7 linked regions of the Nothobranchius furzeri genome follow. Each later gene encodes a partner of the first gene's protein in a complex. Links are inferred from orthologs where the notes say so. Each region holds a gene or a part of one and is shown in the gene's direction. Other genes may lie near its edges.

The links.
Region 2: the proteins of thoc5 (region 1) and thoc6 are in contact, whole or in part, in a cryo-EM structure (PDB 7APK), measured with the Homo sapiens proteins. The link is inferred for Nothobranchius furzeri from reciprocal best matches to the Homo sapiens genes THOC5 and THOC6. Residues at the interface, in NP_001002877.1 of Homo sapiens: Pro406, Gly407, Asp538, Ile539, Val540, Asp541, Ala542, Gly543, Leu544, Ser575, Ile576, Ser593, Asp596, Arg599, Glu602, Gly603, Asn606, Val607, Tyr609, Arg660, Phe662, Arg663, Gly664, Pro665, Ser666, Arg667; in NP_001334633.1 of Homo sapiens: Val5, Pro6, Ala8, Val9, Pro10, Leu11, Gly12, Gln13, Val16, Phe17, Leu20, Gln21, Leu23, His24, Met25, Thr26, Phe28, Tyr45, Tyr80, Asp94, Glu125, Val126, Pro127, Glu128, Asn130, Gly146, Tyr170, His172, Glu188, Trp222.
Region 3: thoc5 (region 1) and sarnp share a complex: the UniProt entries of both Homo sapiens proteins name them as parts of the transcription/export (TREX) complex. The link is inferred for Nothobranchius furzeri from reciprocal best matches to the Homo sapiens genes THOC5 and SARNP.
Region 4: thoc5 (region 1) and thoc3 share a complex: the UniProt entries of both Homo sapiens proteins name them as parts of the transcription/export (TREX) complex. The link is inferred for Nothobranchius furzeri from reciprocal best matches to the Homo sapiens genes THOC5 and THOC3.
Region 5: thoc5 (region 1) and alyref share a complex: the UniProt entries of both Homo sapiens proteins name them as parts of the transcription/export (TREX) complex. The link is inferred for Nothobranchius furzeri from reciprocal best matches to the Homo sapiens genes THOC5 and ALYREF.
Region 6: the proteins of thoc5 (region 1) and thoc7 are in contact, whole or in part, in a cryo-EM structure (PDB 7APK), measured with the Homo sapiens proteins. The link is inferred for Nothobranchius furzeri from reciprocal best matches to the Homo sapiens genes THOC5 and THOC7. Residues at the interface, in NP_001002877.1 of Homo sapiens: Pro48, Asp51, Tyr52, Tyr55, Cys59, Leu62, Gln63, Met66, Ala67, Gln70, Phe95, Lys99, Leu101, Asn102, Ala105, His106, Arg108, Leu109, Gly112, Arg113, Gln115, Thr116, Ala119, Lys120, Val123, Tyr126, His127, Leu130, Leu133, Glu136; in NP_079351.2 of Homo sapiens: Ala21, Asp23, Ile27, Leu30, Val31, Phe34, Tyr50, Met53, Leu54, Leu57, Cys60, Glu61, Met64, Gly65, Thr67, Leu68, Val70, Tyr71, Asn74, Met78, Tyr81, Ile84, Tyr85, Ile88, Glu89, Ser91, Ile92, Ala95, His96, Lys98.
Region 7: thoc5 (region 1) and chtopa share a complex: the UniProt entries of both Homo sapiens proteins name them as parts of the transcription/export (TREX) complex. The link is inferred for Nothobranchius furzeri from reciprocal best matches to the Homo sapiens genes THOC5 and CHTOP.

What each region holds. Positions count from the first base shown.
Region 1 is NC_091757.1:44,988,790-44,991,570, reverse strand, and holds the end of thoc5 (THO complex subunit 5 homolog), read left to right. Parts: intron 1-524; coding exon 525-633; intron 634-706; coding exon 707-808; intron 809-878; coding exon 879-975; intron 976-1,053; coding exon 1,054-1,165; intron 1,166-1,239; coding exon 1,240-1,343; intron 1,344-1,442; coding exon 1,443-1,530; intron 1,531-1,616; coding exon 1,617-1,732; intron 1,733-1,822; coding exon 1,823-2,013; intron 2,014-2,109; coding exon 2,110-2,173; 3' UTR 2,174-2,281; downstream 2,282-2,781. UniProt on the Homo sapiens protein: Component of the THO subcomplex of the TREX complex which is thought to couple mRNA transcription, processing and nuclear export, and which specifically associates with spliced mRNA and not with unspliced pre-mRNA.
Region 2 is NC_091745.1:30,130,796-30,134,581, reverse strand, and holds the end of thoc6 (THO complex subunit 6 homolog), read left to right. Parts: intron 1-499; coding exon 500-603; intron 604-680; coding exon 681-718; intron 719-790; coding exon 791-839; intron 840-961; coding exon 962-1,033; intron 1,034-2,305; coding exon 2,306-2,408; intron 2,409-2,473; coding exon 2,474-2,523; intron 2,524-2,617; coding exon 2,618-2,680; intron 2,681-2,795; coding exon 2,796-2,906; intron 2,907-2,975; coding exon 2,976-3,101; intron 3,102-3,175; coding exon 3,176-3,256; 3' UTR 3,257-3,286; downstream 3,287-3,786. UniProt on the Homo sapiens protein: Component of the THO subcomplex of the TREX complex which is thought to couple mRNA transcription, processing and nuclear export, and which specifically associates with spliced mRNA and not with unspliced pre-mRNA.
Region 3 is NC_091755.1:36,669,277-36,673,217, forward strand, and holds the start of sarnp (SAP domain-containing ribonucleoprotein), read left to right. Parts: upstream 1-1,141; 5' UTR 1,142-1,216; coding exon 1,217-1,249; intron 1,250-1,987; coding exon 1,988-2,093; intron 2,094-3,941. UniProt on the Homo sapiens protein: Binds both single-stranded and double-stranded DNA with higher affinity for the single-stranded form. Specifically binds to scaffold/matrix attachment region DNA. Also binds single-stranded RNA. Enhances RNA unwinding activity of DDX39A.
Region 4 is NC_091741.1:68,371,711-68,375,879, forward strand, and holds the start of thoc3 (THO complex subunit 3), read left to right. Parts: upstream 1-1,369; 5' UTR 1,370-1,444; coding exon 1,445-1,624; intron 1,625-2,489; coding exon 2,490-2,646; intron 2,647-3,874; coding exon 3,875-4,079; intron 4,080-4,169. UniProt on the Homo sapiens protein: Component of the THO subcomplex of the TREX complex which is thought to couple mRNA transcription, processing and nuclear export, and which specifically associates with spliced mRNA and not with unspliced pre-mRNA.
Region 5 is NC_091752.1:50,607,747-50,611,693, forward strand, and holds the start of alyref (THO complex subunit 4), read left to right. Parts: upstream 1-1,147; 5' UTR 1,148-1,274; coding exon 1,275-1,514; intron 1,515-1,778; exon of another isoform or gene 1,779-2,011; coding exon of another isoform or gene 2,012-2,218; intron 2,219-3,474; coding exon 3,475-3,633; intron 3,634-3,718; coding exon 3,719-3,866; intron 3,867-3,947. UniProt on the Homo sapiens protein: Functions as an mRNA export adapter; component of the transcription/export (TREX) complex which is thought to couple mRNA transcription, processing and nuclear export, and specifically associates with spliced mRNA and not with unspliced pre-mRNA.
Region 6 is NC_091743.1:56,272,747-56,276,359, reverse strand, and holds thoc7 (THO complex subunit 7 homolog), read left to right. Parts: upstream 1-1,337; 5' UTR 1,338-1,424; coding exon 1,425-1,443; intron 1,444-1,650; coding exon 1,651-1,774; intron 1,775-1,878; coding exon 1,879-2,006; exon of another isoform or gene 2,007-2,305; coding exon 2,306-2,392; exon of another isoform or gene 2,393-2,510; coding exon 2,511-2,568; exon of another isoform or gene 2,569-2,646; coding exon 2,647-2,713; exon of another isoform or gene 2,714-2,805; coding exon 2,806-2,875; exon of another isoform or gene 2,876-2,947; coding exon 2,948-3,009; 3' UTR 3,010-3,113; downstream 3,114-3,613. UniProt on the Homo sapiens protein: Component of the THO subcomplex of the TREX complex which is thought to couple mRNA transcription, processing and nuclear export, and which specifically associates with spliced mRNA and not with unspliced pre-mRNA.
Region 7 is NC_091751.1:23,238,926-23,242,582, reverse strand, and holds the end of chtopa (chromatin target of PRMT1a), read left to right. Parts: intron 1-2,031; coding exon 2,032-2,209; intron 2,210-2,280; coding exon 2,281-2,433; intron 2,434-2,519; coding exon 2,520-2,722; 3' UTR 2,723-3,157; downstream 3,158-3,657. UniProt on the Homo sapiens protein: Plays an important role in the ligand-dependent activation of estrogen receptor target genes. May play a role in the silencing of fetal globin genes.

The sequences.
Region 1 (2,781 bases):
CCTCTGCTGGCAACTAAAGGAATCTGATGACAGATTATAGGGAGATCTGCATTGCAGGCATAACGCTACCTCAAGTGGGAGGGTGGGGGCGAGGTGAGGGAGAAACTAGCAGCATCGTAGGTCTGCAGCACCTACAGAATCTTGTAAGCATTTTCTCTCAAAAGCACTCTCTCCCTTTTACTGACGTTTGTTCCTACATCCTTTTCTAACTCTGGCCAGCTGCAGAAGCCTCTTTTAGTGCAGGAAAAGCAAAATGTGAGCTGTGTGGCTGTGAGTGAGTGACAGTGTGTCTCTGAGTTCGCCTTTACTGCAGAGTGTCGTGCTTGAAAGGTAACCATCAGCGTTCTTTGTGCTCCCTGGGTGCTGCCAGCTCCTGTTCTGACCACACCCAGTTGCTGCTTTCTGACTCACTGCAGCGTAAAACAAGAAACCCAGGAGGGCTATCACTGGAAGGATTCATAAAAAAGACCCCTACACTGCAGCGGCTTGGTTAATCAGCACATATTTTTCTCTGGTCTCCACAGACGGCAGCGTTCTTCATCTCTACTTCTTCTACCTCATGAATCTGAACATCATGACAGTCAAGACTAAAGTCTCCACCACCACAGATCTCAGCTCAGCCATCAGTGCAGGGTGTGTGTAGACAGAGCAATTGGACATGTCCTTAATGAGCTCCCAAAGGTCTAATGATGACTTCTTTTTTCAGGGAGCTTCTGAAGTCAGACACCCTCCTCAGCTGCTTGTACACTAATGACCAGGGAAGAGAAACTCCCAATCCAGCCAATCGCTACCAGTTTGATAAAGTTGGGTAAGTGTGTCAAGCAATCAGAAGCAGTATGAGTGTGTGTCCTGGGTCACACAGTTAAATTTCTCTTTAGGATCGTTTCATTTGCTGATTATGTGGAGGACCTGGGATATCCCTACATGTGGGTCCAGAATCTCGGAGGATTGCATTTTCCTAGTGAATCTTCAGAGGTGTGTTACAGCATCTAGAAGTATCCCAGCAGAGCAAAGTTCAAAATGTAAAACATTATTTTTGTTTCCCTGTGCCAGGGTGTGCTTGTGGGCAGTTCCCTGAGCGCCAGCCACATGGAGAGCACCATGAAGCTGCTGAGGGGGCGAGTCCAGTCCCGCTTGGCTCTGCAAAAACAGTTTGCCTCGTTAGGTGTGACAACTACCAGTCCGATACTTCCGATTGATAATAATTGTAGAGGAAACTGACTGTGTTCCTGCCCTCAGAACACAACATTATCCCAGTCTCCAGTGAGTGTCAGCATCTGTTTCCAGCCAAGATCATCTCTCGTTTAGCACGTTGGACCACCATCAGTCACCAGGAGTACATGGTAGAGTTTAAGTCTTTCATAGTTTATTTGAAACAAATATTTTGATGCTTTTCTTTTGTTTATTTGTTGAATGAGTGTGTTATTGCTCTTGTTTTGAAGGATCTGCCGTATACCCGTCATGTAACTGAGGCTGGACTAGCCAAGGAGACAGACCTGTTCTTTATGGGAGTCCTAGAAAGAGGCACGGGTATGTCCAATCACTGAGAGCAGAACTGGCTCTTGTTTATTTGTTTTTTCTCCAATAAACAAACACCACGCTTGTCCTTCTCTCAGCTCGTCTCCATGCTGCAGTGGTTCTGAGTCCTCGTTACCCAGCAATAGCTCCTCTCTTCTCCCTGAGTCTAAACTGGAAAGGAGAGTGCAGCGGACGCACTGATGACAACCTCAGAGTATGAAAATCCAGAGTTTTAATGTTTTTCACAGGGCTTTTTGAAAGCTGTGCCTCCTATAATTATAGAATATACATGACCTGTCTTTAGGCCATGGAGAGTGAAGTCAACATTTTCAAACACGAGCTGCAGGGACCACGGCCGGGACATCAGCTGCTGACCAATCAGATCGCACGGATGTGCGTCTGCCTGGATGTGTATTTGGAGACTGAAGGACAAGATGTCAGCGTAGAGGGACCTCGTGAGTTCCCCCGAGAAAAAATGTGCCTGCGCACTGTCAGGTATGCAGTTATTATTGTGTTGTTTTTGTGTGTGTGTTTATTTTACAAACGAGATAAAAGACGCTGACTAGATTAACCTGTTCTGTCTCCATGCAGGGGGCCAAGTCGTCTGAAGCCATTCAAGTACAACCATCCTCAGGGTTTCTTCAGCCACCGTTAATCGTCTCTACACTTGTCATCACGTTGTCTTTGTGACGTTTTCATACACAAAGTCCTCTTTTTAAACATTTTGAAAATAAAAGAACATCTTAGTGTTTTCTGGAACAAATGTTTTTTGTCTCTGGCTCTTGTGCACGTAGGCTCACTCTGTATTTTTGTGTTTCATCACTTTTCTGTCCTCTTAACTTCTTTTGTACTGTTCTATTTATAGCTTTTTTAGTCAGAGATATCTGATTATTATTCAGTTGTGGATCCCTGCTGGAGCAAGCTGAGTCATTTCCACAGAGGCCTGTGGAAGGCAACATTTTGCTTAATGTGTGCAGCTGACCTTTGACCTCTCAGGCTTTAGCAGCGTGTTCTTATTGGAAATATGGATACGTTATTTTAGCACTTGTATCATAGCGGGTTTTGGTTTAGCATCACAAGTTAAGCTCGATATCACGCTTCAGAGTTATTAAATTATAGATGATTCTATGTAATTACACTGAGAGTGTCTATATTTAGCAACCCCAGTGGCAAAGATTATAATTTGATTCATTAGATCGTTTTTTCTTGATTTTCTAACTTCCACTTTTGGTGTTTTGCGCTGCAGCAGCTGCTTAAAGCTGA
Region 2 (3,786 bases), on another chromosome or scaffold:
AAACCGCCACAGGCTGTGGTGTTTCGTTTACCTGTGTCCAATAAGCATTTAAAGCTCCTGTCAGACTTTACAGTTTACTTATTTTTAAGTTTTAAATGTTGCACTGCAGCTTAATGTTTTTTTTTTTTCCATAAAATGAATTTTTAATCACTCACTCATTCTCAGCAAGACTTTTTATGATGTTAAACTATTAATTTTAATACTAAAACTTAATTTTTCAACAGAAAAAGGCACACATTCCACATTGTGAAATGCTAAAACTTCAAATTAAAAGCCTCCTCAGCCTATTAAGACATTTTATTCTTAGACTTCTGGTGTGTTCAGCCGTGTTTTAATGTGAAAAGCATGAATGCCATCCTTCTACTTTTTACTTTAATTTTTAGGTGGTTTCAGATTAAATGAGACAGTTTCTAACAAATCCAAACTAGTGTTAGGTGTGTTTTTGATTTGAGGTCCTTTAATCTTCATCTGATTTGAGTTTTTGTCTCTTTTGCTGCAGCTCATGAAGGTGCAGTTTTCAGTCTTCTGTCCACAGACTGTGTCCTGCTGAGTGCTGGAAATGGAGAGATCAGTGCCTGGAGCTGGACTGAACTCATCAAGAAGGTAACGCTACATCTGGTAGATAACCTGTACAGCAGCACAGCTTCACTTGTGAAATGTTGTGAACTTGATGTCCTCAGAATGTGAAATGTCTTTGGACGAAGAGGCCCAACTATAGGTGAGGACATCTCTCCTGCCTCCCGTCCAACCTGAAGGTCACGTACTAATGCCTCTTCTGGTCTTTTGGCAGATCAAGTCTGGAGATCCCAGAGATTAACTCCATGGTCATCAACACCCAAGTGAGTGAGTGCGCGCGCGCACACACACACACACACACACACACACCTGCTCAACAAAACAGAGTTTAAGAACTGACTGAAGAGGATCTGATATGGAAACATCTGGCCTGTGTGTGTTTCAGGACAACAGTCTGGTGATTGGAGCTGGAGACAACAACGTCCACATCCTGGACCTGGAACATGGAGACTTTAAGGTGCATCAGCTTCTCTGCTTATTGTCTTTGACTAATGAAACAGCATCAATGCTAAAGGAAACTCCCGACGTCACAGAAATCATTTTACTTTGCCTAAACTAACTGTTGGCGCTATTTGGGTTACAGTGATCCCTCGTTTATCGCGGTAGATGCGTTCCAGACCTGGCCACGATAGGTGAAAATCTGCGAAGTAGGGACACCATATTTACAGTACAGTGTCAGAACCCAAGTTCCCAGGCCAGCCTCTTCCAGCTAGCCGGCCTCCACTATGGACCAAAACTCCCAGCATGCCCCTCGCGGGGATTCCCTCCACGTCGCATCTACGTCACAAACCGCGGCTATAATCGGAAGTCGCCTTTCCAGCTCACCACTCAGTCATCGTTTCTTCATATTCATGATCAGAGTTTCCAACCTACTGATCCATCCCACGAACTATCAGCTCATAGTAAGTTATCTTACTTACTTCTGGAAAGCCCGGCATTTCCTTGTCACTTCGTTGATGCTCGAACGCTCGGGGGTTTCCTAGATTAATCGTGAGCCGGCGTTTCACCGACGCTATCTCTTCCGTGTCTGTGAAACCACGCTCCCTACAAGCTCAACTCCCGAATCCAGCCGACCAGTCTGATATACAGTACTATATTGAATTATCGTATGATCACATTCTCTTTTTGTGGGTAAAACTCAAGAAAAAAAATTTTTTTTACTTGTTTTTTTTATAGTTTTATTACAAAAAGTGCATTTTATGATGAAAAAAAACAGGAATTTCTTGATATTTCGCATAGAAAAATACCGCGAATCGGCGAATTTCCCTTGAATAAGTCTCCAAAGAAAAAATCCGCGAAGTCGTGAATCCGCAATAAACGAACCGCAAAGTAGCGAGGGATCACTGTACTTACAGTTGTTGGGTTATTTATTGGGTTTAGTTGTTGGTTAATGATGATTTAATTTATTTATTTTAGTTTTGCCTGTGAGAATCAGCCAGGAACAATAAATATGGGGACTGGTGTTAGACCAGCATGCACTGGGGTAGGCCTATAGTTTTTTTTACCAGAGCAGGAGAAGCGGCAGGAAATGAAGATGTGCATCATACTTGACAAGTTGGATGAATAAACACCAAAAATATTCATCAGTTAAGATTGTTTGGACATTGGACTTTTTTTTGCCTGCGTACAAGATATCACTTGAGTGCAGCAGGGACCCAAGGATTTAAAACCCTCAGGAAAATCGCCACTAAACTAACCTCACACAAACATGTCTGGCCTATGTGTGCAGACAGCCCTTCAGGGTCACACAGACTATGTGCACTGTGTGTGTGTGCGTGAGCGGGAGTCCGAGCTTCTGTCCGGCAGCGAGGATGGATCTGTGAGGATGTGGGGTGAGTTACAGCAGCTGGGTAGGCCTTCCTCAGCAGGTGATGGTGATGATGTTGTTGTTGTTCAGACACCAGGACGGGCCAGTGCGTTCACTGCATTGAAGTCTACAAGTACGAGGTGAGAGCTACATGCCAGTCAGCAAGGATCACCACATTGTGAGAATATGCTGAGTGTGTGTGTGTGTGTGTGTGTGTGTGTGTGTGTGTTTCAGAGCTGCGTACGGCCTCAGTACGGTAAATGGATCAGCTGTGTGACCACAGACTCTGACTGGATGGTAAGAAAACAGCAGCTTCAGCTGATCAGGACTGTGTGGTACCGCGCATTAACAGCTGCAGGTCTCACCTGGGAGGACAGTTTTACACACATGAGTTGTTTTTGTGTCCCTGCAGGTGTGTGGAGGAGGTCCGTCAATGTCTCTGTGGCACCTCCGCTCTCTGTCCCCAACATCCGTGTTTCCCCTGAGCGGCTGCCAGCGCCAGGCAGCTTTCCACCAGGACATGGTGAGACACAATGGCCCACTTCACTCAGAGTGGAGGACAAACAACAATATGTCTGTGTCTGTTGTGTAGATCCTGGCAGTGGGGCAGGGTGCATTTGTGTCTCATTGTCTTCTGGGTGGAGATGTCAAAGCTCAGATCCCATGCACACCCTCAAGTCTCAACACTCTGCAGCTGAACAACAGCTCAGAGCACCGGGTGAGTCCCTGAACGTAGCACAGCAGGTTCCTAACCGGTGTGAGGAGCACCTGGTGAAGGTGTTTGTGTTTCAGGTGCTGACGGTGGGAGGTAGCAGCAGCCACATTGACGTGTTCACCAACCTGTCCTACAGAACCTTCTCACTCAGCTTCTGAACTTTCCTAATAAAATGTTTTTTACAAACAGTTTTTGTCATTTAAATGATCAGAACCAGGATCTAATCTGGCTCAACAACGTGGTTCTATAAAAAACGTATAATCCTCTTCTCTCAATCCAGCAGACAAAAATCTCTCCATCACAGGAGGAAACTGTAGCTTCAGCTCTTTAGAGGACTGCGTTTCTCTCAGGGCTGTCCCTCACAACTCCTGCTGGTGAAGATACTTGAGCTTTTCTTTTCTCAACTGGTACTTTTTGTTTTGAGGTCAAAAACTTTCGGACATCTTTCTCAAGCTGATCTACATTTTGGAGTGAATGATTTATAACAGGTTTTTAATTAGAGCCTTAAAGATACAAACTAGCGTCTCCTCTTTCCATAAAACTATATTCGTAACACATTCAGTCAATTCTGAACCATCTCTTGGAAACAATTTTGTCTCTCTATGACCGCTGCCAGAGCTTGGGCCACGATGCCGGCAGTAAGTTGGACACTGCCAGGCCTGCCATTTGTCACCAATTCAGTTCATTA
Region 3 (3,941 bases), on another chromosome or scaffold:
TCCAAGCTGACATCCATCATGGACAACCCAACTGGCTGCATAATACAAGAGCACTGAGCAGCACATTCAGCAGTAGACTTTTATATCCCCTATGTAAAGAAGCATGACTGCAGGTCACACGTGTCAGGTTCTTCAGTACAGTTAAACATTATGAAGCGATTTAGCATATTTTTGACTGGCACACTGGCATCTGCTTGTGTGGCTTATGTGTAAATGGACATCTGTGTAAATAGAAAGGTGATTTGTTCTATATTCCTCGCTGTCATGAGAGCTCTGTAACACCAATGATTCTCATTCCTGTGATAAAAAAGCTTTAATCGTGTCAACTTGTTCTCTGACATAAATCATTTAAATGAGTCAAAGTGTTGTTGACCAAAGGGAAAGTGTACTCAAATACGTTTAAATAACAGTAAATGAAATGGCCTTAAACGTCACTTGTTTTAAAATCCCAGTAAATGTCCATCTTTCTCTCTTTGTCTCTTGTGAGCCATCAGAGGAACAAGAAAACGGTGTTGCCTAGCAACAAGAACATCTCTGTCTCCCGCTGTCAGCAGTGGTCCAGTAAGACAAAGGGAAAGATAATTTATTAATTTCATGCATGAATCATGATAACCAGTCAGTCTGGGCTTTACCTAAATCAACCTTCATCTAAGAAACACTTTGAACTTTAATTTTTTATAATGTTTTGTTCATTTTGTGTATTTCATCCAAAGAACTTACTTGGGTATTTTCTCCGAGGAAGATGGTAAATGGCCTGTAATTGATATAGCACATTCTAGAGTCCTGGAACCCCCCAAGGAGCTTTACAACACAATCAGTCACCCAATCACAGACACATTCACACTAACAACACTACAGTGTTTGTCAAAATGTCATCAACAAGGTAAAAACAACTGTTGCTGTGTTAAAAAAAAGAACCAAGTAATGTACATGAATCAACAACACTGAGCTGTATTTTTATTTTTTAGGAAAACAATGTTTACATTCTTATCTACAGAAATAACGTTCTATAGTCCATTGTCATGGCATAAGTCCAGCTACAACTTTAAATTCACTGTTCATCCCCTGTGTAAACGTATAAAGCTCGAAGAATTTTACCTGCAAAAGGTCAGTGTCCAGCAGGGGGCAGTGTGAGAAGACAGCGCGCAAGTGGTGGAGCTCAGAATGAGAGGAGCTAGTCTTTTGATTGGAGGAAGACTTACGTCAACAAAGAAAGATGGCGGAAGTGGTGGAACTGCATAAACTGAAGGTTGGTAGCGACCTAAAATTACGATTTTAGTTTGATTTCACACCTTTATAAGTGACGGATGGGTGTTGATTTCTGTTTATTACAGAATGACGTAGTGGGTTCAGGGTAAATGGGATTAGAGGTTAAATCGTCTCGTCTGTGTGTGAAGGCTGAAAGCCGGCGTCGTGTGTCCGAGGAGCTACCGCTGCTAGCGCGCCGAAACATGTAGCTTTGCAACATGGGACGGTCCAACATATGATTTTATCAAGATATGACTAGATTAACGAAAAATAAAATAAATGATGGCATGATTAAATCAACCAGTGTTCAGTAGGGTCAGGTAACTATCAAATATTTCTCACGCTGTTAGATTTTACAGATCATCTGGTGGAGCAAATTATCTAATAAAAACAAAAATCTTGATTTGGAAAAATAAAATCCAGTACTTTTATAGAATAAAATAGTCACTGAAATGATACATTTTAAAGCATTTCTGTTCTCATCATCCAGTAAAACCGCAAACCCTTCTGGCATATAAACAGGGTTAGCAGATCCAGAAGCTGCTCTGTTTTAAACCAGGTTCATCATTTGTTTTGTACAGCGTCCATTTCTACGCACACAAAACAAGCCTGTTTACAAACGGCTGCAACTCAAATGTTGACATTTGCCAATGATCCTAAAGAGGCTGCTGACTAGACTACTTTACTTACATTTTAAATGATTTAACATGTTTTCCTTCCCCTTCTTCTCATGACGCAGCTTGCTGAACTGAGGCAGGAGTGTGATGCTCGAGGTCTGGAGACCAAAGGGAACAAAGGAGAGCTCATCGCCCGACTCCAAGCATACCTAGATGAGCACGGTGAAGGTACTTTCAGTTCACTTCTCTTTATTCACACACACACACACACACACACACACACACACACACACACACACACACACACACACACACACACACACATCTTCCATTCATTTCTGTGACTGTATAACCATTACCAATGCTGATCTATTCCTAACCCTAACTAAAACTTAATTCACACCATACCTCTAAAACCAACTGGTAAGCTTCTAAAAAAAATTAGGACCAGAAAAATGTCCTCACTTTGTAGGGAAAATGGTACAAATGGTCCTCAGTAGGTGGTGTGTACAAGAGCACACACTCACACACACACTCACTCACACTCACTTACTCACACACACTCACTCACTCAGTCATTCACTCTCGCACACACACACACACATTTGCATTGCTACTCATGTGGAGATCTGACATTGACTACCATTCATTTTAGTGACTGCATTATTATGCTTGTCCCTAAAAGATGACATTAACAGTCTCTTGTTTTATTGACATTGTTGTGTGTATTTTAAGCAGGGTGGTTTTGTAAAGTCTGTAATAATTAGAAGCACATCTGCTTTAATTAGAAACACGTCTGTAATAATTAGAAACACGTCTGTAATAATTAGAAACACATCTGTAATAATTAGAAACACGTCTGTAATAATTAGAAACACGTCTGTAATAATTAGAAACACATCTGTAATAATTAGAAACACATCTGTAATAATTAGAAACACATCTGTAATAATTAGAAACACATCTGTAATAATTAGAAACACATCTGTTATAATTAGAAACACGTCTGTAATAATTAGAAACTCGTCTGTAATAATTAGAAACTCGTCTGTAATAATTAGAAACACATCTGTAATAATTAGAAACACATCTGTAATAATTAGAAACACGTCTGTAATAATTAGAAACACATCTGTAATAATTAGAAATACGTCTGTTATAATTAGAAACACGTCTGTAATAATTAGAAACACGTCTGTAATAATTAGAAACACGTCTGTAATAATTAGAAACACGTCTGTAATAATTAGAAACACGTCTGTAATAATTAGAAACACGTCTGTAATAATTAGAAACACGTCTGTAATAATTAGAAACACGTCTGTAATAATTAGAAACACATCTGTAATAATTAGAAACACGTCTGTAATAATTAGAAATACGTCTGTTATAATTAGAAACACGTCTGTTATAATTAGAAACACGTCTGTAATAATTAGAAACACATCTGTAATAATTAGAAATACGTCTGTTATAATTAGAAACACATCTGTAATAATTAGAAACACGTCTGTAATAATTAGAAATACGTCTGTTATAATTAGAAACACGTCTGTTATAATTAGAAATACGTCTGTTATAATTAGAAACACGTCTGTTATAATTAGAAACACGTCTGTAATAATTAGAAACACATCTGTAATAATTAGAAACACATCTGTAATAATTAGAAACACGTCTGTAATAATTAGAAATACGTCTGTTATAATTAGAAACACGTCTGTTATAATTAGAAACACGTCTGTAATAATTAGAAACACATCTGTAATAATTAGAAATACGTCTGTTATAATTAGAAACACATCTGTAATAATTAGAAACACGTCTGTAATAATTAGAAATACGTCTGTTATAATTAGAAACACGTCTGTTATAATTAGAAATACGTCTGTTATAATTAGAAACACGTCTGTTATAATTAGAAACACGTCTGTAATAATTAGAAACACGTCTGTAATAATTAGAAACACATCTGTAATAATTAGAAACACGTCTGTAATAATTAGAAATACGTCTGTTATAATTAGAAACACGTCTGTTATAATTAGAAACACGTCTGTAATAATTAGAAACACA
Region 4 (4,169 bases), on another chromosome or scaffold:
CTCTTTTCTATATCTTTTCTCTTCCTGTTTTTTTTTCTTACATGTTTGTTAAGACTATTCTGGAGAAAATGGGCATCCAGGGGAAGGTGACAGCGATGACCAGCTTCTGGAGCTGATCAGGGAGGACATGAGGCTGCAGAGCAGCAGAGGGCACAGGAGAGAAGAGAGAACTTTTACAGGCTTTTTACTTTGATAGAAAAAATGGTTAAGAAAGATTAAACATGTACATATAAAAGAAACATCTAAATAAAATCAGTTCTGTATTAAACACTTGAATTTTATTTTTGTTTACAAATGTGAATTGTTTAATATTAAAGGGTATCCGCTGGGTCTTGAAAAGTCTTAAAAGGTGATAAATCGGTTTTGGTCAAATTAAGACCCTTAAAAAGTATTAAAAACTATTATCACATCTTTGCTCAGGCTCAGCTTGTCGAAAGTATTTTCTCTGAATTAGCTCTCCAACAGTCAAGGAAATTATTAAAAAGCTAAATAAAATTTCGAGCTCCTTCCTTCTCCCTTCTGCTCAGCGGTTCCACGGTTGCTAGGCGACAGAATGTTCGTGAGGGAGTGGCTGGAATTCATGAAGTCTAGGCTTGTCCAAATTCACAGCCGTTAACATCCGGTCTACTCAGCCGACGGAGGACCCAGCCCAAGTCGGCCGAGTAGGCTGGGTCTTTCGAAGGATGCAGACCCTGAATTGAGACACAGCGGATGTGTGTGTCTAGTTGTCGTCTCCGCCCTTTTGGTCTGCCAGGCAACAGCATTTGTTGCATTTTTCATACATGAAGTGGGGGTGGAGGAGTCTGGCAGGGGGTGACTTGCTCTTTAAGAAAAACAACACCTAATTAATTACATTTTATTTTTCAAATTTTTAGGTCTTTAAGGCTTTTTAATCATAACCAATTAGAAAACTCTCAAGGCCCAGAATAAGCATAGATAAAAAGTCTGTTCTAATAGCCATCAGGTTTAAATAACTAAGATAATGTTATTACTGTTTATTGTTGTTTTGAGGGTCATTATATCAATGTTTCAAAGTGTTTTGTTCCGTACAATTTAAAGTAAAAAACAATCATCTGCCGAAATTAAGCATTCCAGTTTGAATACAGGAAAAACATTGGCCGTTTATCAGTACTCAGGTATGCTAGTATGTTCTTGTGTACTAGTCAAGTATGTTGTTGGCAAGGACACAAAAGTCTGTTCTACCGAGTACAGGAGGATGAGGACGTCAATTGGAACATAGCCGTACTCCGTTGTTTCCTCGCAACAAGCGCTGCTTCTTGCTATTGAAGGTGAGCTCAAGTCGCCATTGTTCTGCAGCCAGGTCCTCTTGGAATTACGACCCTGTTTGCTTTGCTTTCCATACATTCTAACTAAACACATCCGAGTCAACAGGCGTCGCTCGCGCGCTCTCCACTCAGCTTCAACATCGAGTTCTCAATCCAAGATGGCGTCTCAGTACTACCGGGAGATGCAGGACAACTTCAAAAACAACAATAAAAGTCGGGAGTTCCAGGCTCATTCAGCGAAAGTTCACTCGGTGGCCTGGAGCTGTGACGGCAGGAGACTGGCTTCCGGTTCGTTTGATAAAACTGCCAGCGTGTTTGTCCTGGAAAAGGACCGTTTGGTGAGTTCCGGTTGTTTCAATGATGTAGCGCGCCAGCAATGACGGCGCTCTGGGTCTTGGCGTGACCTGCTGGCTACCGTCATGGTGCGTTGGGTTGTGACTTGTGATTATTTTGTGGCTCAAAATAAGCCGGAGAGTCGCTTCGCAGTCGGATCTCCTGCGTTGCGGGGGACACTGGGCGACCCTATTGTGAGATTCGTTGAAGGGTGGACAGTCGCGATTCAGGTGTTGTTCTTGGAAGGAGGAGTTCTGTGGTTGCTACCCGGTAGCTGTCTCCGTGTTTTTTGGTAGGTAGACGTGTTCGAGACAGTGGATGATGTTCTTCTGCGGTTCCGCGCGCATTTTTCTGGGTGTAATGGGGGTTACTGTATTCAGTCTGGTCGTGTTGTTTAGTGTGTTTGTGGCAGCCTCTTGGGCGTCTAGCCTGCATCACCAAAGACAAAGCTAGCTGCTGTGTGTATTTGCTACGGCTAACATTAGAATTTTAACTGTTTTCCACACCGGTCTAATCCCATCATTAACAGTTACAACAGAGTAGATAACTGGTCGTTTAATAAACGGAATGGGTTTACTGAGTTAAGTCATTTTAATATGAAATGCCTCTTCGCTGTAAGAAACCAGGAGAATGAGATTCAGGCTGCATTAGAAGACTGTCACCCTTTGGCACATTGCCATTGAGTTAAATACAACTACTGATGACTTCTATAGCGTTTTTTTATATCCTGCTTAATGTGGCTAAATATGTTCAGGACAAAGTTATAAAACTAAACTTCATGCATAAAAGATGCAAGACTGAATCTGCATTTTAAACAAAACATTTTAACAAAGTAACTGAGTTTATTCAGTTAGATTTTTTTCCCACCAGGTGAAAGAAAACAACTACAGAGGACACAGTGATAGTGTGGATCAGCTGTGCTGGCATCCAACCAACCCTGACCTTTTTGTCACAGCATCTGGAGATAAAACCATTCGCATATGGGATGTACGCACCACTAAATGCATCGCCACAGTCAACACGAAAGGTAGGGTGATCACACCTGTTGGAGCTGAAATCTGACCCAGCAGTGCTTTGAACAGATAGACGGTCACATCTTCAACCAGCACTGGTCTGGGTTCTATATTTCTGCTGTTGCTTTTCCTCTCACTTTTGAACAGTTTAGGGTGAAGCTTACAGCTTTTTGTTTTTGTAGTTTGGGGGGGGGGGGGGGGGGGCAGTAATATTTATTAATGTGTTACAAAAGGATCCACAGACATCAGGACTAGTTTTCCCTGTAATTGTTGTTTTTTAACTACAAAGTTATTTTAAAGTACAAATGTACATCTTTTAACATGTAACTACATAATGAAAGGCGGCTGGGTAAATAATTGACTGGAACAATGCATTGTCTGATATTTTCTTATTTCCTCAGTAATCGTTTATCAACCCAGCTTGTGCAAACCCAACCAATCTCAACAGGTTTTTTGATCAGATGGAAGAAGAAAAAAACACGTCAAACAAAAATATTCTGTCTAGTATTAATTTCTGCAGATTTACACAAAACCCAAACATGCTGAGCTCTGGTTAAAAACTTAAACAGCTGCAACATTTAGGCCGTCTTATTGTTTTAAAGAAAAATATGAGGAGGAAAAGCTTTACTTGAACTAGTTTTAAAATACAGTTTGAGAAAATAGCTTGGAGCCAGAAACTGAAACCGAAAAAATTAAATGTTTTCCAGTTTATTTTGGGTGATGACATTTAGAGGCCGACTGATATATTAAACTTTTTCTATATCAGCCATCGGCCGAAATTATTTATAAAAGCTGATAAAAAAATACAATAAAATCAGGCCAACTGCCCCTATTACTAGGATGAAGATAGGACTCAAAGGACCCCAACACACCGTTTTTTAATGTTTTGAGTTTGTTTTATATTACAACTTCAATAAATAATTAAGAGATTCATTTACTTTATGCTGCACACAGTGAGTGTTCAGTTGTCTTTCACAATCAATGTGCTGCTAAAACATTTATATATTAGCTTTAATAATTGGCTTTAGATATCAGCCATTGGCAACAAAATCCTTTAAAAATCTGTATCAGCAACAGCCTTAAAAAACATGTCGGTCAGCCTCTCATTAAAGTACTTTGATACCATGGGTCGTCATTTGTACTAGAAATAGAGAAATTAAATGTTTTTGTCTTATTCTAGCAGTTGAAATTATGTTGTTCAAAAATAATGTGTTTTTTTTTTATTGTTTATTTTGACTTTAGGAGAGAACATCAACATCTGCTGGAGTCCCGACGGTCAGACCATTGCTGTTGGGAACAAAGACGATGTGGTGACTTTCATCGACGCCAAGACGCATCGCTCCAGGGCGGAGGAGCAGTTCAAGTTCGAGGTGAACGAGATCTCCTGGAACAACGACAATGACATGTTCTTCCTCACAAACGGCAGTGGCTGCATCAATATTCTGAGGTAGGATCCAAATGAAGTACCGTATTTTCACGACTATAGGGCGCACTGTGTTATAGGGCGCAGCTTCAGTTACGGGTGTCTTTTTGGTAT
Region 5 (3,947 bases), on another chromosome or scaffold:
ATATTTTAAAATTTTCTTGAGCCAGTGTGTGCTAAAACAACCCTGTACAGGGTTAATGAAATGTCACTCAGACCCCGACCACCCTCTATGGCCAGAATGTCGCACTTGCAACTTCAGAGTTGGACTTGTGGAGCTGACATGCCTGGTGCTGCAGTCTGCTTCCTGCATGTTTTAGATCATAAACACTGCTGGTTTGGTCAATTTAGTGATGAGCTGCTCCTGTAGAAATTAAGGAAGGATGGGGAGACATTATTATGGATTAAGGTGTTTAAAAAGGTGAATGCACAGTTTCACTTTTGGTTTTACTAACAGAACACTAGGGGCTGCTAAAAGCAACCCAAAACTGGTTAGTTGTGCAAAAAAAAAAAAAAAAAAAAGCAAAAGTTTAGAAATCTAAGGGGTCAGTAGCCATCACCAGTTCTGTGTAACTGCTTAAAGAGCAAGTCACCCCCTACCAGAGTATTACTCCGCTCCCACTTCCTGTTTGAAAAATGCAACAAATTCTGTTGCCTAGCAGACCAAGAGGGCGGGCCCGCTAACAAATACACACACACACAACGACATTGTGACATCATATGCTACCAGCTAACGTTCTAGGGTACCCCTTTGCCAATAACGATGGCAGATTTAAATTCAAATGCAGTGCAGAGTTTTTACCTGACAACGGCACAACACTCACAGTTTTAGGCAGAAAATTTAAATTTTAACTTAAATGCACAAAAGTGCAAAACTACACGTGTCTGCAGCACGGTTAGATACGCATTTATATAGTTTATCAGAAAAAAGTTGATCTGGGAGTGTCTTGCTCTTTAAACACTTAACTATATTATTTTAAAATCCTTGACTTTGTGAAAGTTTCTTTTAAGAATTGATGATTGATGTGGTTTAGTTTTTCCCGGTTATTTCTTCAGTTTACAGTTTTAGTTTCGATCAAATGTTATATGTCATATTTGTCAAAAAAATATTTATTTATTTGTTCTGTATTTTACCACATCTGTGTAGAACTTTTGCACAATTCGCACATTTTCCTGTCAAGGTTTCTTTTAGATACATGCTCCGCCCGGTTCCGCCTCATCGTCGACAGTAGAGGGGATCACGTTCACGTACTCACGTCAGGCTTACGTAGAGAACGTCGTGTTCTACTACTTGTGTTTAGCAGCTGCTACAAGAATCAGACACCGTTGAGCCTTGAAAGGGACAGGGAGAGGGACCGACCGTGTCTAGGGTGTAACATTCTTAATTTGTTCAAAGTTTAGCGTTATTGGGGCAGCAAAATGACCGATAAGATGGATATGTCTTTAGACGACATTATCAAACAGAGCAGGCAGCAGAGAGGTGGAGGCCGGGGAGGAAGAGGCCGTGGCCGCGGAGGCACAGGCAGCGGCCGGGGTGGAGGCGCTGGGCGACTCGGAGGCGGCGGCGGAGGCTTTGGAGGCCGAGGCGGTGGATCCGGCCCCATGAGGAATCGACAGAACCTGAGTCGCGCTAGAGGCAGACCTACGCCTTACAGCAGGGTATGAGAATGTTAGAGGAATAAGCAGAGAAATGTTTTCATATTGTGTCCCTTCTCCCGCAACCCAAATGTGTAACGCACGTCGAGCTTCAACAGCCTACGGAAGGAGTGGAGGCCCTCAGCGCCATTTTGAATCCAGCCCCGCATTGTGAAGCTAGTCGTCAGTGAGTGCTCAGTGAGAGGTATCCTGGCCACGGTGGTGAAAGAAACCCACTTCGTCAAGAGTATCACTCGAAAGTGTGTTTTCACTGCTTGTCGGAGCGGGATATGTGCTCAAGTTCCCGCCAGCGCAGCGACCAGGCGGCCTTTTGTTCGGGGAGTGGGTTCTCAAGCCCTCTGGTGGCTTTTTCTACCAGTTTGCCTGTTACTTGTGGATGGAAAAGCGGACTTTTACTCCTCTGTTAGTGCCCAAACAAAACCGGTTCTTCGTCTTTTAAAGTGTGATCGAGTTGGTAGCGAAGCCAAACAAAGCCCCAGTCAAAATGGCGTGGTTTCAAAATGGACGCTCACGCAGAGGGGAGATCTGGCCATTTTCACTCCTCATCCAGCACACGGACTCTTCCCCTACTGAGAACTGTTCTGAGGTCCAGGACACAAAGTACCAGCGCTGGAGACGCCGCTGCATCGAACAGGAGTCCCCGAGTGTCCCGAGGAGCTGGCTTTTCTGGAGGGAGGCGCAGATGGCGAGAACAATGGGCATCTCTGGTAGCTAGTCTGAGGAGTTTTACAGGTTTAGCATCAAGTCTGTGGGTTTGGGTTTAAGAAATATCTGTGATGGTAATACTTAGGTTTCTGGAAAGGCTCGTTAGTCTATTCTAGGGTTTATTTCACTAGAAACCCAGAACAGGACTGTTGAGTTTTGTTTTTATGGTTTTGTTTTTAATCCATTTACTACATCAAACTTGGATCTAAAGAATACATTTTTATTTTAAGTGGGCTTTAATGGGACCATTTTTCTTTAGACAGTTGATTAGAGTGATTGAAACAAGTGGCTCCCAGATCTTTTAACTTCTGATTTACAAGATCTGTGATTAAAAACCTTCATTATTCATGACGGACACGTACAAATAGCCAATAAGACAATTACATTAGGACAGGAAGATGACTCCATCCACTTTCACCAAGACTAAACGCTTGTCAGTTGGTCTGTTTAGATGTTTTCTCTTCATATATGTCAATTATTTTTAAATTTGATAATCTCAACATTGGTGTCCTGTCCTAACTTTGGGAACCAGTGAGTTTGAACTAGGGATGCACCGATACGATACTGGTATCGGCACCGATACCAATACCAGTATCGGTGAAAGTTAACCAATACCAGGAACCGATACCAATGCAGTTGCTTGAAAATGGCTTCACTGTAACTTGTCATTTCTGTTCACCTAATATTTTAGTTTTGTGATGATTTCCATTCATATATTTTACTTTTTATCTACCTCACAGTCTTTTCCTGTTGAAAGCAGAGAAGAAAGTAAAATCTGCATTCCAAATCATTGCATTTTTTTTTTTTTTGTGTGGTAGAAGTATCTGTATTGGTATCGGCGAGTACTAAGATCGGTTTGGAAAAAAGTGGTATCGTTGCATCCCTAGTTTGAGCATGTTTTTACTAACTTAAATCAGTATGGACTTTATTGTGATGTTTGTACACATTCCGATTTAAGATGGCCCAACATTGGTGTGTTAACGTTTAAAAAAGTTCAAAATTTGAATCGAAGCGAGACTACTACAAATCCCCTTGCTTTTGAGTATTTGTGTGCACGTCCCTTTGAGCTGATGCACTTGCTCGTTGTGACGGGGTGGGCAGGGAATACTGGGGACCCCCCCCCCTCTAAAGGGAGCTGAGCACCATGTTGGAAGTGGAGCCCCCTGCTTGCCCCAACAGCCAGCCGTGTGGACTCAGTGATGGGCAGAGGCAAGGGGATCCTGAAGTCAGCAGGTGCGTTCTCTTTCATCTGTTGCAGCCTAAACAGCTCCCAGACAAGTGGCAGCACGACATGTTCGACAACGGCTTCAGTGGCTTCAATGGTGCTGCTGGGGGTGGCGGGGGAGCTGGTGTGGAAACTGGAGGGAAGCTCCTCGTCTCCAATCTCGACTTCGGTGTTTCCGATGCAGACATTCAGGTACTCCAAAATCCGCGCTTCACTGGTTGGTTGTGTTTTATGGCTTGTTGCTGTCTTAGACTAATCTTGGATGTACTTTTTCAAGGAACTTTTTGCGGAATTCGGAACTCTGAAGAAAGCTGCAGTTCATTACGACCGGTCGGGAAGAAGCTTAGGAACAGCAGATGTCCACTTTGAAAGGAGAGCTGACGCTCTAAAGGCCATGAAACAGTACAACGGCATCCCACTGGATGGTACGCTTCAGACCTTGTTTACATTTTTCTGGTTTGACATGACTAAATAATTCAAACTTTCTTGAGTGTTCAACCCCCTTT
Region 6 (3,613 bases), on another chromosome or scaffold:
ACTGTAGTTTGGTGCATAAGCACAGACCACAGTCGGAACCCGTCCCCCCACACATAGGCGGAGGGAGGCTACCCTCTCATTCACTGGGGAAAACTCCAAAGTACAGGCACCAAGATGGGGGGCAACTAGTATGCGCACCCCTGCTCGGCGCCTCTCAGTGGGAGCAACTCCAGAGTGGTAGAAAGTCCAACCCCTCTCAAGGAAACTGGTTCCAGAGCCAGAGCCATGCGTTGAGGTGAGTCGAATATATCTAGTTGGAACCTCTCAACCTCACACACGAACTCAGGCTCCTTCCCCACCAGAGAGGTGACATTCCATGTGCCAAGAGCCAGCTTCTGTAGCCGAGGATCAGACCGTCAAGGTCCCCGCCCTCAACTACCACCCATCACACACTGCACCCGACCCCTTTGGCCCCTCCCACGAGTGGTGAGCCCATGGGAAGGGGGACCCACGTTTCCTCTTCGGGCTGTGCCCGGCCGGGCTCAGTGGGTGAAAGCCCAGCCACCAGGCACTCACCAATGTGCCCTACCTCCAGGCCTGGCTCCAGAGGGGGACCCCGGTGACCCACGTCCGGGTGAGGCAACACGTTTTCCATTTATATAATTCATCATACGAGGTCTTCGGGCTGCTCTTTGTCTGATCCCTCACCTAGGACCTGTTTGCCGTGGGTGACCCTACCAGAGGCAGAAAGCCTCAGACAACTTAGCTCCTAGGATCATTGAGGCACTCAAACCCCTCCACCACGCTAAGGTGGCAGCCCAGGGAGAGGCTATTTTCTAATCCTAATCTAATCCTATTTGATATGTGCCATATATTTCACATATATGTCTGTGAATTTTAAAGACACGTTTTGATGTCAAGAAAGTGCTTATTTTTGAACAGCTGCAAAAGTTTAGGGTTTTGTGTTAAAAGATGTGTACAATGCCTGTCCAGTATGGGAAGCTGGTGACTGGATGCTGAACCATCTTGCTAGACCAGCATTGTATGCTGATCTACCACTAAACCAGCACCAAACACAACATATGCTGTTTTTATGAGCAGGGCTTTGCTCATACATAATTGAGGCGTTTTTTTACACAGCAAAAAGTGATTACAGCATTCATTTTGCCTTTGAAAAATGTATTCTACCGTAATTCAATTTCATCACTTGATTGTGTAATTTGTAATTGATTGTGTGATAAAAAAACCTAGTGGTATTACTAAATTGCATTTAAACTAAATCTCTGTGTCACATAATCACTGTAATCACTGTATACTTAAAATCCACATTATTTAACGAAGATGAAGCGAAAAGATCACAACATGCAGTAACGTCCTCTTACCAGATAAGGCAGTAACGAGCTCAGCTGTGTCTGAGTTGCCTAAAGACAAAAGATCAATCAGTACCAGTAGAACGGAAGTAGTAGAAGAAGAAAAACAGCAACATGGGAGCTGTAACTGATGGTTTGTGGCTTTATCATTAACTAATTTCAGCACTTAAGTTACTCTTTACTTTTGTTTTCGTCTAAGTTTAAAACATTGTAAATTGCGCCTTATTATCTGGAAAAATACCCAGAAATGCTACCTGTAATAGCGACGTTAGCTAGCACACTTAGCATAGATGCATTATGTTTTCAACGCTCTTCAGCTGCTTTATTGCATGTTCCACAGATGAGGTGATTCGAAAACGTCTTCTCATTGACGGTGACGGAGCTGGAGATGACCGCCGAATCAATCTGCTGCTGAAGAGCTTCACCAAGTGGTGCAACTCACCTTCTGGGACCCTAGAAGAAGGGTACGAGCTAGCAATATATCTGTCTCCAGTTTTTGCTTGTAACATCTTGAATGCCGAGTACACAACTGCAGTGAAATGCTGAACATTGGGCTCTTTGTGTGTAGATTCACTCAGTACCAGAGGATGGTGGCTACTCTGGCTCAGTGTGAGTTTTCTATGGGAAAGACGTTGATGGTTTATGACATGAATCTTCGTGAAATGGAGAATTATGAGAAGATCTACGCAAACATAGGTAAGATCGGCTTTGTTTTCAATGTCACAGAATTTTTTGTTAATTCTTTTAGTCATACATGCCAAATGGCCTGTATTTTATAGAGCTTTCTAGTCCTGGAACCCCCCACGGCGTTTTACAACACAACACAATCAGACATTTACACACACATTCACACACTGGTGGTGATGAGCTACATCGTAGCTACAACTGAGCGGGGCTCGAACCTGCACCCTTCTGATTATGGGGCGAGCACTTAACTCCTGTGCCACCATCGCCCAATTAACACTAATCAAACTTTTTTCTTTCGCACCTCGCAGAACAAAACATCACATCTGCACATGAGAAGATCACAGAATGCAAAAAAGAAATTCTGCGTGCCAAGAGAATACGAAAAAATCGCCAGGGTAAGGACATTTTAACATCTGTTGTATTTACAGAAAAATTACCAGATGTGGTATCAAATGTGCGTTGTCAAAAGGATGTAAACTTTTTTTTAAGTATCTGTTCTCTGTCTCTCCAAAGAATATGATGCTTTAGCAAAGGTAATCCAGCAACACCCAGACAGACATGAAACACTCCAGTAAGTCAGCCTATCGATAAAACATGTCAAGCTCCCCTTCATGTTCAATAAAGTGCTCATTTTTGTTTTACCTTCCAGGCAGTTGGAGGCACTCGATAAAGAACTCCAGCAACTGTCTCACATCAAAGAGAACGTAGATGCAAAGGTAAACTCAAACACAGCGGCCTAATGTTGTTAAAGTATCAGATTTAGTTGTATTTTTACTGACTTTTTATGCCATGTTTGCATTCTCTTTAGTTGGAGTTGAGGAAGAAGCAGTTTCATGTTCTTCTTACTACCATTCAGGAGCTGCAGCAGACACTAGAAAGTAAGTAGCCACTTGGTTATACAGACAAACTGTTGTCAGAGCTGCCCTCATCGTCTATCCTGTCTTTCCTAGATGATGAAAAGTCAGATAGTGACGACCACAGTCAGGAGAGTCCCATGGAGAATGGGGATTGAACACATAAAGAGCCCAACTGAAGGAGTCACAGCTTTTAATTGAAATTTAGTTTGTCTAAGAATCCTTTTTTGTATGTATTTTTGAATAAAGCTGTCATCTTGGAGTATATCTTTAATTCTTATATTCTCTTTTCATTAAAATAATCTCAGTAAAAATGTAACCAAAGCTTCCAGGCTTTTAAGAAAATCAACTGAAACTCTGATCAGAAAAGAAATTTAATACGCGTCAGTCAAGGACAGAACAGTTGTTGAACATTCATATGTGCTGTATTTTCTCTGGAAGTTTCTGCACTATAAGTGAGAGTTTGAATACTTGTAAAATCTAAGTGTCATTAAACCCAATTATCATTTTTTTCATACTAAATTATCATTTTTTCATACCAAACTATCAAATAGTTTCTGATTTAAAGTTCACAAAATTACATTCTTCTGAGAATAAGACGTCTGTAACAAGAATTATGGTTTTGCTCATTTATTTAAAAATGAATGCCAAAATTTACTGATGTAGTAAATAAACCACAATGAAAGAAAGCCTCTGACTTCCTATGTGAATGATCACTATGTACTTTGTTGCAAACCCCTGTAAATTGTTTTAACCGAACCA
Region 7 (3,657 bases), on another chromosome or scaffold:
GGGCTCGACTCCGTACGGACTTGCGTGCCTGCCGGATCCCTACGCAAGGACGGATAATGGCGTTGCGTGTCTCCGCACTGACGCAGACGGAGAAGCATAAATCAGGCTTAAAGCTGTGTTCAGTAGGGAAAAGGGCACAAGTTAGCAAAGGTCTGATGGGTTCTCAAGTCAGAAAGATTCTGTTCTGGTTTTATCAGTGAATTATCATTGAAACCAAACCCAAGCCTGACAGAAGATGCATTTGCTGTTTGGGAAGTACAGTCCTGATCAAAAGTTTAAGACCATTTGAAAATGGCCAAACGTCGTGTTTGTTTGGTTGGTCATTAACAAGGTCCCAAGTAGAGCTTCAATGTGCAACAAAAAAGAAATGGGAGTGAGACAACGATCAAATCGAAACGAGCTGCTTTATAGCTGATAAAAGGTTTAAAGAACAAGTTCACTGAGAAACCATTTTTATGTGTTATTTTTTTAAATGATTGGTCACTCTGAGTTTCACATGCAGGCTGAATATGTGAATAGTCTTCTACCCCTTTTTCCTGCATTAGCCGATAGAAAACAGACGAGGAAATTCTCAGGTTAGCAAAGCCAGTCAGATCTACCTCACAGTAAGTTAACATTCATGGACTCGGCCATCTTGGCTCAAGATGGGGAAGGCAGTTGTTGGTTTAGCATTCAGGAGAGACTAGAGCTTGCCTTGGCTAATAGAAGCTAACTGTTAGCATTAGCTGCTACTCTATACAGTAGAACTCATTCATTTATGGAGGTAAAACATCAATGATGCAAATCAAACAAGGTTAGTGGTAGAGTTGTGTTGCTGTTAGCCAATCAGGGGTGAGATGTCCAAATAGTCTTGTTGTACCCTTAAGCCGGGCGGACACTGTGCGACTTTTTCACTCGTAGCACTCAGCTTCAGCTCAAACTGTACGACTTCCTCACAGAGCAGATCTCACGAGTCGTGCGCTCACACTGCACGACCCAGTTCTCGGATGCGATCTGACTGCTCACGCTGTACGTCTGGTAGCAACACGTCGGCCCTAAAAATGTGCTAAAAATAGCAGTTTTTACACAACACGTCAGACTTTTTTGTCTTGTTTTGCCTGTTGTCCTTCGGGAGTGCTGCAGGGGGACACACAGGGATTTATGGGGGTTGGATGAGGAAAACAAAATAAAGAAAGTAAATCTGTGTTTTGTGATCAGTTTAATTTGACATGAACACGACAAACACGCTTTCTTGACAACCTTTGTGAGTAAAAAAAGTGTAGAAAATAAAAACGAACAACGTGTGTTATTAGGGAAATAGCGGGCGAGCGGTGTTGATGCATGCATGTGCCGTGAGCGGTTCTGGTACTTTTTGGGTCGCAGCTGCTCGCAGCGCCGCTTCAACAGTGCGATACCCTCACGAGGGACGAGCAAAATATTAAACACGCCAGAAGTCTGTGCGAGCTCACGATTGCTGATCGGTAGCTGGTCACGTGGTGTTAATCGCCTCTCGTAGCCCCCTGTACACGACGCTCAGCGCAAAACTCGCCCCGATCTCGTGGATTCTCGCACGAGTGGAAAATCGGCTCAAAAAAGTGAAAAAGTCGCACAGTGTACACCCGGCTTAACCTGAGCTTTCCACTGGATGCATAAGTGACGCGGTTCCTCACGAGCTCAGCGGTGCATATCGTCTCACCGGGAGATTTTCTGACATGAAGCGGCAGTGAATGTGTCACAGCTGGACCCACAACGTTACAAAATCACAGGAAAACGCTAGATCAAGCATGATTTCAGCGGTTCACGTGATAACAAGCATGGAGAAAGATGGTAACGGTATCCTAGCAGGTCTGTGGTGTACTTACTGTTTACCTCAGTCACAGAGGTTTTACAGGTAAATATAATAGAAGCTAAGTGCTACGTACTACGCTTTGTGGACATTTTGTGACGCTCGCGCGTCTGATGGAAAGCTGGGATAACAAGCTGGACCTACTCTTGCTTCGCTTTATTTGTGTTCCTGATTTGTTGCTGTGACCGATCCTTCTGAACCACCAGAGCCTAAAGCAACGTCTGGGGAAAGGCAACATCCAGGCCCGGCTGGGCCGGCCCATTGGGCCTCTGATGCGGGGTGGACCTCCTGGAGGAAGAGGAGGCATGCGGGGGATGACCAGAGGAGGCCTCAGAGGGGGTTTGAGAGGAGGGATCATTCGTGGGGGTCTGTCTTCTCTGAGGGGTAGGTGTCCGTCAGCGTGGAGATGGTAGGGGTGTTTCCTCTCAGCTGAGCAATCACATTGTGTTAAACAGCCAGGCGAATGCCTACAGGTGGACCTATGAGAGGTCGGGGGGGCATCGGACGCTTCCCCATGCGTAGAGGAGGTCGGCATCGTGGAGGAGTGGCAGGAAGAGGAGGAGTTCTGTCTCGAGGAGGAGGTCGAGGTGGAATGCCCAGAGGCCGGGGTAGAGTTTGTATTTATTAGTACAATCGTTTGATGACTCGTGTCTTTTTTTTTTTCACTGTCTCACTGATGATGTTCTGTCTTCAGGCCGTGGTGGACTTCGTGGACGTGGGGGATTTGCTGGTCGTGGGGGCCGCGGCCGTGGGCGGGGCAGAGGACTTGGCCGGCCCACCGTTACAAGGGAACAACTGGACAATCAGTTGGATGCGTACATGTCAAAGACCAAGGGACACTTGGATGCAGAACTGGATGCCTACATGGCCCAGGCAGATCCCGACAGCATGGAGTGACGGCCCAGCGAGACCAGAGCTGAAGACTGGGGCGTAGCGTCAAGTGGTGTTGCTGCACCCTGTTGTTTAGCCGTGCATCCACCTGCTGCTGAAGAGCCAATCAGCTGATGAATAAACTCAAGGGGACTTTGACCCTGATGTCCACGGACTTCCTGTATGAAGTTTTAGTCAAACAGGTGTTTGGTGTAAACTGTTTAGTTTTTCTTAGTTTTTCCTCAAACCTCCAGAGTTTCTTTGGCTCATCTTAAACTTGCAGTGGAAACGTTTTTTAAAATGATAATTTTACAAGAATTTTAAGACGAGTCATTTTCTCTTATATTTGACAGGGAAAGAAGTGCTCAGGCTTTGGGTTGTTTGTATTCCGTGAAGCTGACAAGATGTTTGTTTTAAAATTATTTCCCAAGTTGTGTTAAGGAAATAAAATGATGAATGAGATATTTTCTGATTCATGTCAAACATTTAAGGCCTGTAGGTGTTCTGGAGCATGTAGAAAAGCAGATGTCCTGGTGTGATCTTAGCTTTTGTTCTGCGATTGGTGCCCACAGGGACATGGTTTCCATGGCTGTGTCTCACTGGGAAAACGTCACCAGTTAGAAGGTTGGACGTTCAAACCTAAGACCTACAAACTTCTCTATACTACATCCTGTGAACCATGTGTGTGTGCGCACATACCTAAAGGATTATTAGGAACACCTGTTTAACTTAATGCAATTATCTAATCAACCAATCCCATGGCAGTTGCTTCAGTGCATTTAGGGGTGTGGTCCTGGTCAAGATAATCTCCTGAACTCTTAACTGAAGGTCAGAATAGGAAAGAAAAGTGGTTTAAGCAATTCTGAGCGTGGCATGGTTTTTGGTGCCAGACGGGTCGGTCTGAGTATTTCACAATCTGCTCAGTTACTGGGATTTTCACCCACAACCATTTCTAGGGTTTA